2 linked regions of the Oryzias latipes genome follow. The protein of the gene in region 1 interacts with the protein of each later gene in a pairwise test. Links are inferred from orthologs where the notes say so. Each region holds a gene or a part of one and is shown on either strand. Other genes may lie near its edges.

Region 1 (4,035 bases):
GACGCCTCTGCGCTCCTTGTCTCCCCTTCCTATCTACTCCGACACCTCTGGCCAGGGCGGCTTCAAGGAGGATCACTTCGTCCCCGTTAAGCCGATGGATGGAGCAAATGGTTTCTGTGCAAAGCAATCGGACTTAATACTGTACGTTTTGTGTATGAGGGGTGGATGCGTTGTTACGTGTGGGAGCCTTCAGACTGCCATCGGCCCCGCAGCTCAATCAGCAAGAGAAGATGTCTCCAGCTCACACGGAGGCTGTGAGTTTTTCAAAGCAAAATTCCGCTTTTACGGTTTCCTTAGAAACCGTAAATGGAGTGTAAATTCACTCCATGCGCTGTTCTCTCCGTCACGCAGCAAACCGGCTTTTCCAAACCCGTTGGTGACGGTGGACTTTTTTACGCTGCTTTTAACGATTGCTTTTAACTTGAAAGCTTCATCATAATGTAGCGGCGATCACGTGCACGTTGGGTCTAATGGCCCCAAAGGATTCTGGGATGCGGCCGGGCATGCGTGTTTCGTTTTGTTGAACCATGACTGAAGTGTCTAAGACCTGAAGTCAAGTCCATGCTGTTTGGCTGCTAAGAGGTGTGTTGAATAAAAATGCCTCGTGCTTGGTGTTAGATAGAGAATTCAAACTATTCACTGAGTTACATGGCGGCCGCTAATTAAATCCATAAATTAGCCGCGTCACTGAATAAGCCGCAAGGCTGTAAGCGCAGGAAAAAAGTAGCGGCTTATAGTCCGGAAATTACGGTAATTGACCCAGTTTACACTTGATTCTCTTGTACTAAATGAACGTTTAAAGTGAGTAAAAAGTGTAAACATAAGCAACTAGATTTGTATTTCTGGTTTGATGGATAAATGATTTACCGAGTGCTTGTAATTTTTATTTTAGAAACCAAAAAATCGACAGTTTTTTGTTTTTATGCATCATTGATTGAGAAATTGATTTTTTTATTAATAAATTAGGAATTCTTACATTAAAAACAAACAAATGTGTTTATTCCCTTAAAAATTACATTAGTTTTTTATTTGAAGGTTCATTAAATTAAATGAATCAATATTGTAGTTTAAAAAAAAAGATCAATTTAATTTCAAAGATAGGTTTTTCTACTTTACAATCCTTTGAGAACTTTTGACCCTCCTCGGTTCTGTCTACATCCAGCGTCAAAAGCTGATCAAGACTGGAAATGTGACAATAACTTCACCTTTTGCCTCCCTTTCACCTCAAAACCAAAAACCCAATGGCTTCAGAATCAGTTCCTGATCAGAGCATCTTCATTTTGGAATTGGACTCACTCAGAGAACTCGCCACAGATCCAGGCTGCCGCATACAGAACCTCACAGATGCCGTTTCGCTGCGTGTTTCCCGTCAGCAGGTGAGCGTTGTCCAGCAGAGTCGCCATCTGGGCAACAGCAAAGGCCCGGATGGCTTTGACCCGAATGGCCACGTCCAGCATCTGAGAGGCGATGAGATGGCCGTGGCGCGTGCCCTCCAGTCTGGTCAGCTCCACCAGGATGCTGATGTACCTGTCAGGCAGACGCCACAGTTCAGAACTCAGAGGGGGCGGAGCAGGAGGTGGAAGGGGAGGAATCCAGCGGACCATTCAAAGTTGGTGATGTACTGATAGTTGCTCTGGCTGCAGATGTCGATGATCTTTGTGAGAAGCTCGTCTCTGTAGGTGGTTCCCTCTGCTTTGTCCACATGCAGCATCAGCTTCTTTACAATTTCCATCAGGTTCTTCTTGGACACCTGGACGGAGCGACAAAAACAAAAGAGGCTGCTTTGTGAAAACTTTACGGTGCAATTATTAAGACGAAAAAAACCTTTCTGGTGTAACTTCAGAACTAAAAGATCAACCAGGTTTCCAGAAACGATTGTTTAAACAATTGCAGCAGAAGAATCTTCTGATCCTACCATGCCGTAAAGCAGGTCCAGAGCTCTGAGGCGAATGGACTCGTCTTTGTCATCCAGACACTGGAGGATGAGGTCCTTATGGGACTGGACCGATTTGGGGTGGGTCTTCAGGATCTTTGACATCGCCAGCAGACCCAGATACTTCACTGCATCAAAGGTCAACACAGATATGGCCTCAGTCTACTTAATACAAGAGTAGTCGTCTGAACTTCATCACTATTCCCCACGGTATTTTGTTAAAAGTTGAACCACTTCTATAAACGCTAATCTGACTGATGTTACTTGAATCTGCTGTTAGAAATCCGTTTTCACCGCTTCCAGCTGTAAATGTCTGCATATTTTTTCCATCTAAAGAGCTCATTGGTTCTTTGTTTTCAAAGTAATACAAATAAACTTTCACAATAAAGTCATAAAAGTGAAAAAGGAGGAATGGAAAAAGGAAGAAACACAAAACGCACGAGACAAAGGAGTGAACACACACAAACACACACGGGACAGGGGGGTTTCATCTTTCCTGATCTTTGGGTTTTTTCCGGGGATCCCCTTTTCAAACGGATTCTTAAAAATACAAAGTTCTGTCCGTCGTCTGCTGGAGCAGCTGATGATCACCTCCAAGAGGCGCCATCTCTCAGGCTTAAAATAGCAAAGATGTTTACTGCAAGATATTTGGAAAGAAAACTCCTGACTTTACCAAAAAGCATTTTACAGATATTCTTCCCACTTCCATCCATTTGTTTTTCTTCTTTAGAGAAATGTAAGGTAGTATACTTCAGGTGTCGATCCCTTAGAAAGTTGAGTCCGTTTCTTCTTTTTGTTAGCAGCTAAAGCAGAATGCTGCCCTCACATCAACTGGATCTCTTTCCAAAGTCAACGATTTGTGCTCAGGATTTCTGAAATTTGCATGTTTTCCAGTTACAGTCTGATCATTTCTATTTACTAAAAGACGGAAAACTGGTTTGGATCTTGCTCGCCCTCTAACCCGTGGATAAACTGCCCATTAGTGACCAGACGCTCACCAGGCAGTCGGCTAGTGTTCACAGGTTCAGTGAGATTCCTGCTTCAGTTGAAGTTACTAAATCGAGACCCGTACAAAACTGGGTTTGCATTAAACGGGCAGAAAAATGTCTAACAGAAGCTCAAAAAACAGGATTACAAGTCAAACTAAGCTTGAAACTACAAGTCTCTAATCTGCTCTACCAACACCAGACGTCTGCAGTCTACTCCACACACATCTACCATGGAGGTCCAGATAACTCGAATGACTGAAAACAGAAAAGTCTTTGGGACTTTTAGAGCCAGACCTGACATTGGATTAAGACATTTGGGAAGCTGCTGAAACGTCAAATTAAAATGAAAGGTCTTCCTTTTCTCCAGCATACTGCTGTGGGATGTTTGCAGATGCTCTGTAAGTATGATGGCTTTCCAGCAGGTCTCCTGATTACGTGAAGAAAAGAGGTAATGTTCGAGTTATCCGGGGTCAGGGGATCTAATTCCATGTCGTCTAAAGGGGTGGACTGTTCCATAGACAGAAACACGCAGACAATGAGAAAATGACACACTGCAGGCATTGACAGAGGGCTCACAGTTCTGGTCCGAGTCTTCGATAAGGATTCGCAGCTTCTGCACACAGAGCTGTGGGAGGAAAGCAGAGCAGAAGACAAAACCAGAGGCATTAACATCCCCGTCAACCTTTCCACACCAGCGGCTCTTCTGTTCGACAAAACCGGCTGAACCAAATAGTGAAAAGTTCTCTGTGGTGTTTAGATGTTTAAAGGAGCGTCATCGGCAGAAAGTGACTGGAGTGGAAGGGTTATGATCTGATGATGGCCGAGAACGTGGGGAACCTACCTGGATACTAGCACTGTGGTTGGGCATCCCGGAGGACAAAGAAATCAACACTGCAACACAAAAAGCGTCACAGTTTCAACAAGAAATCATGTTTTAGGACAGAAAAAAAAAGAGGCTTCAAGCGTAAATAGCCTAAAAAATATATCTATTTTTGACTAAATAAATGTTTATGAAAACTTTGATTAAAAAAGCAAGTAAACAAATAACATTTTTAACAATAAAACATAAAAATCTGACTGGATGATTTACTAAATGGTTCTCAGTACTGACCT
Region 2 (4,269 bases), on another chromosome or scaffold:
CCTCATAAGATGTGTCTGAGATTATTCTCTGTAATATTTACAGAGATATTTTGCCACAAGCCACTTTGTAAAAAGATCTGTGGCTGTTAGAATGAACCTGCTGCTCCACACGAGTGAACCGTGTCTCTGAGCAGAGCAGCTGGAGTCTCGTAGCTTCGTGTTCGCAGGCTGGGAAGCTGCTTTGTTATAGTGTGCGGTCCGGAGAAGAGTTCAGAACGCAGTCTGTTCAGCTGCAATGCAGTTAATAATAATAATATTTAGGGCTACATGTCATGAGGAAAACTTAATATTGCGGTGACGATGTAACTTGGGGTGTAGGAAAACAACCAAAAACATCATTTCTATTTCACTGCAACAGTTTAAAAACTGCATTGCAAATGACCAACATCTACATAGGAGACGAACATCTAACACAAAAGGGCTCCATCCGATTGGTCAAAAACATAAAAGGGATTATTTTTGCTTCGTTAAATACTGCCATCAGATTGTTTTAGCATACTTAAGGTAACCATTTATTGCGATCTTCGCCGTCTTTTGCAATATGCATATTGCACAGCTTGATATTGCGATAACGATAAATTTGCGATATATTGTGCAGGCCTAATCATAATATTACCAAAAGCACGTTTAGAAGATAATCTTTCTCTGTGTCGGAGCTCTGTATGTTTACAACGGACCGCATAATATCTTCTTCTATGTTAGTATCGTAATTTATCCAGACCAATCACTATCTGATATTGCGATGACGATATAACTTGTGGTGTATGAACAAAGAGCAAAACAACCTAAAACATCATTTCTATTTCACTGCAACAGTTTAAAAACTGCACGTGATCGGACCAACAGACATCCAATCACATAATGTGACGTCAGCACTCTTCGAAGGACCCCGAACGGTTATTGCAGGCCGAATGGTTATGGTACCTACACCCCACAGGAACACTGAAAATCTGCACTCATTTTTCCTTTAAAAACAAAAAAAAACTTTTTACTCCTTCGACCATATCACTTCGATATTTGGTGGAAAATAAAGGACAATGTTTTTTTTAACACTAACACTGGAAAACCCTTGCTAATAATACATTAGAGGTTCAGATATTTGTCTGTCCTCAAATACCAAACATCCCTAAAACAGCACTTCCATGAAAATTCTTAATAAAGACAGATAATTGTATCTCTATGCTGCACAGGTCAGGAAAATGTTCAGATATAATTCAAATGATACAGATTCAAATGCAGCAGACAAAGGTTGACTTTAAAACGTACTTAAAATGCCAGAGTGGTCATGTGACCATCTGCTGATCTTTTTGTACATGCCACGATTGTAGAGAAGGAAGTTGAAACCCATTTGTCAATATGTTGACTATACAAAGCTGAAATTGACATGAAAAGGGTTTTTTTTAAAGAAAAAGGACGTTTTTAACTACTCTGGGGGAAAAACGAAACTAAAACCAAAAGAAATAGGAAAAAAAATAGAAGAAGTTTGCTTTTCTGGTTATGACTAAAGCAAAAGTCTTTTTCTTCTTCTAAAAAAAGTCATATGGCATTCTAAGGAAATCTGTCACGCTCAACCCACCATCTGAGCCGCCAGCGTTGAGGAGAATTCACTGTTCATGGCGTAGGGAAGGGCGGTTTGAGCTCTGGAGCCATACGTCGTCTGGAAGCGCTTCTTGACTTCGCCAAGAAAGGTAAATGCACGAGATCTTTCAAAGTCCTTTAACAGAAAACATTCAATCACGATAAATGCAACTACACGTATTTAAAGCTTTGTGCCAGTGTCACATCCTTCCCAACTATTGCTGAACATCAAAACAAAATAAAAAGTCCAAAGATACTCACATCATCAGTGATGCACAAGTATATGATTCTGTCATGGCAGATGTAATGAAAGAGGTAACTGAAAACAAAATAGAAACACCATCAGTTACACGTTCCCAGAAACTAGCCCTGATTGTGGGCAAAATAATGACAATTATTGAGATGAAGGAGCAAACTGGACCGTACCTGCCGTGGCTGTAGGTCAGTTTGTTATTCTCTGAGGGGATTTTGGCTAAAATTTGTTCTGTGACTTCCAGGAAGTTGCCCCCGCACCAAGCATGTTTGGCCAAAATCGTGGTTCCACGAGCCACCACAGCAAACAGGATTGCCATGGTAACACAGCTGGGTTCTCCGCTACGTTAGTTTTCTGTCAAATAAACAAGGAAAGGAATAAGCTTTTTGTTGTTGTTGTTTTTTGGTAGGTGGAGCTCAGGTAAAACAAAAATGCCCCCACCCGCCTTCCCTCCCTCCCACCGGAATTCCGTTAAGATGAGTTAGAAAGAAAAGGAAAAAAATTGTGTATTGTAGACAAAAAAATACTAAAAACGATTACACCCAACATCCCTATGCGTGTTATTGTGGTATAAATCATTGGGAAAAACAAAGACTGATTCGGCAGCAAGCTAGCGTAGTAAGTAATGTTGAAATAAACACGGAACAGTGGTGGCGTCAACGAAAAGACCAAAATGTTAATCAAAGTGTCAGTTCAAGTTTTTGTTTGTAAGTTAAACGTTGTTGCAAAAAAACAAAACAAAACGATACCTTAACGTGTCAGCGCCACTCAAACGAGCTAATTATTTTCCCACATTTATAATGTGTCAGCTGCTAGCAAGCTAGCTAATCCCTTTCGAGTGACTTCTGCTTTGCGGATCCTTTGGACCGGAAGCACACACTGACCAACGCTGGGTAATGTAGTTCTTTTTTGCAATTTCTTTCACAGTGAATGCTGCTCTTCTACCATTCTGAACTACACTTCCCTAAACTACAAATGACGATGTGTCTTCGTCATATGTTTTCATGCGTAAGAGCAACTGTTTAGGAATTCCCCTCAGTTTAGCCTTAAAGGCTACGATTACACGCTAAATTGAATGCATTTGCAAATTAAATGTTAAGGAATGTTACTTTTTAGCGCAGTGAAAGGTAGTACTTCATCACCAACCTAATTTAAGTTCGATCCGTTTATCTTTTCTTAATTGCATGTTTTGTATGTCTATGTTTAACAAAATTTATTTGTGTCATCACTTCAAATCGACATATCTCTTTATGGCAGACTAAATAAAACATTTATTCTTAGGGTTGTAGTCGGAATAAATGTCCAACCAAGCGGGTTCAGTTATTAATGAATAATAACAGCATGGCGACACTTTCATTTTCAGCCTGTAAGTCAAAAATAAAGGGGAAGAAACACAAAGCTCATACTTTGCAGTGCGAGCGACGTGAAAAGCATGGCCGGGGATGGCGAGAAGAAACCCAAACTGGAAATGGTAAAATAAGAAAATGTCGTTTTGTTTGATCAGTTATTTAGATACTTAACTGTATATTGGTTAAAGTTTGTGTAGGTGAAATATATAATAACACATCGAAGAAGCTAATGCTAGCTTTCTCCACCGCCCGGCTGCAGACTTCACGTGGAAGATGAAGTGTCTGTTCATAAGAAAATCCCTTTTACTCGTATATAAACATTTTTTGTTAATTTATATTACTTAAAAAGAAACCAAAATCATGTTTTATTTGATAAAACTGAGCTTATATTTTAGTGTGTTACTACATGTCATTGTTTACTTGGTCAAAATCCTGCGATGTCTTTTATCCCCACTAGGGGGCAGTATTTTAAAACAAGCAGTGTTTACTTAAGATTTGTGAACTAAAATGTACTTAAACGTTAAAAATATATATATTATAGTCCCACAAGTCCCTACTAAACAACTGATTTTTGTTTTTTGTAATTTATATTAAAATAAAAAAGTTAAACGTCCATAGTCTCAAAGATCACTAAAACAGAGAAACAATATTCATGGAGTACAAATTAATGTATGTAAACACTGTTGTAGGAGGAATATGGCTCTCAATTGTATTTTTTTCAGCAACAAACCCACTAAAATGTTTCAAGATTCACTTATAGTGGTCTACAGAAGGATGATAATAATAAGCGACAGCTCAAAAACAAGGGTAAAAACCTCTAAAAGAACAGCACCAGCAAAAATAAAGCCACAAATCCCGACTACAACCCAACAGGAGCCACAAAGTCCTACTCCACCTTTTAGTAAAATAGGACTCAGATTTGTGTATTTGTGGTATTTCTACTGTTGTGTTAAACCCTAATGAATTTTTTCGGGGCATGAATAAAAAACATAAGGACAAATGAGCCTCTTTTTCTAAATACAAAATATTTTACACCCTTTGACAGAGGTTCACATGACGTCCTTTCAAAATAAAAGACATCCTGTAGCA

Evidence for each region.
Region 2: the proteins of ap3d1 (region 1) and vamp7 interact in a two-hybrid assay, tested with the Homo sapiens proteins (2 studies listed by BioGRID and IntAct). The link is inferred for Oryzias latipes from reciprocal best matches to the Homo sapiens genes AP3D1 and VAMP7.

The regions. Positions count from the first base shown.
Region 1 is NC_019862.2:30,490,814-30,494,848, forward strand, and holds part of ap3d1 (AP-3 complex subunit delta-1), read right to left. Parts: coding exon 4,034-4,035; intron 3,814-4,033; coding exon 3,764-3,813; intron 3,548-3,763; coding exon 3,499-3,547; intron 2,062-3,498; coding exon 1,916-2,061; intron 1,751-1,915; coding exon 1,602-1,750; intron 1,528-1,601; coding exon 1,297-1,527; intron 1-1,296. UniProt on the Homo sapiens protein: Part of the AP-3 complex, an adaptor-related complex which is not clathrin-associated. The complex is associated with the Golgi region as well as more peripheral structures.
Region 2 is NC_019868.2:26,863,141-26,867,409, forward strand, and holds the start of vamp7 (vesicle-associated membrane protein 7), read right to left. Parts: upstream 2,801-4,269; 5' UTR 2,581-2,800; intron 2,186-2,580; 5' UTR 2,151-2,185; coding exon 2,005-2,150; intron 1,898-2,004; coding exon 1,840-1,897; intron 1,715-1,839; coding exon 1,577-1,714; intron 1-1,576. Other genes in the region: DNA-directed RNA polymerases I and III subunit RPAC2, read left to right, coding at 3,264-3,302. UniProt on the Homo sapiens protein: Involved in the targeting and/or fusion of transport vesicles to their target membrane during transport of proteins from the early endosome to the lysosome. Required for heterotypic fusion of late endosomes with lysosomes and homotypic lysosomal fusion.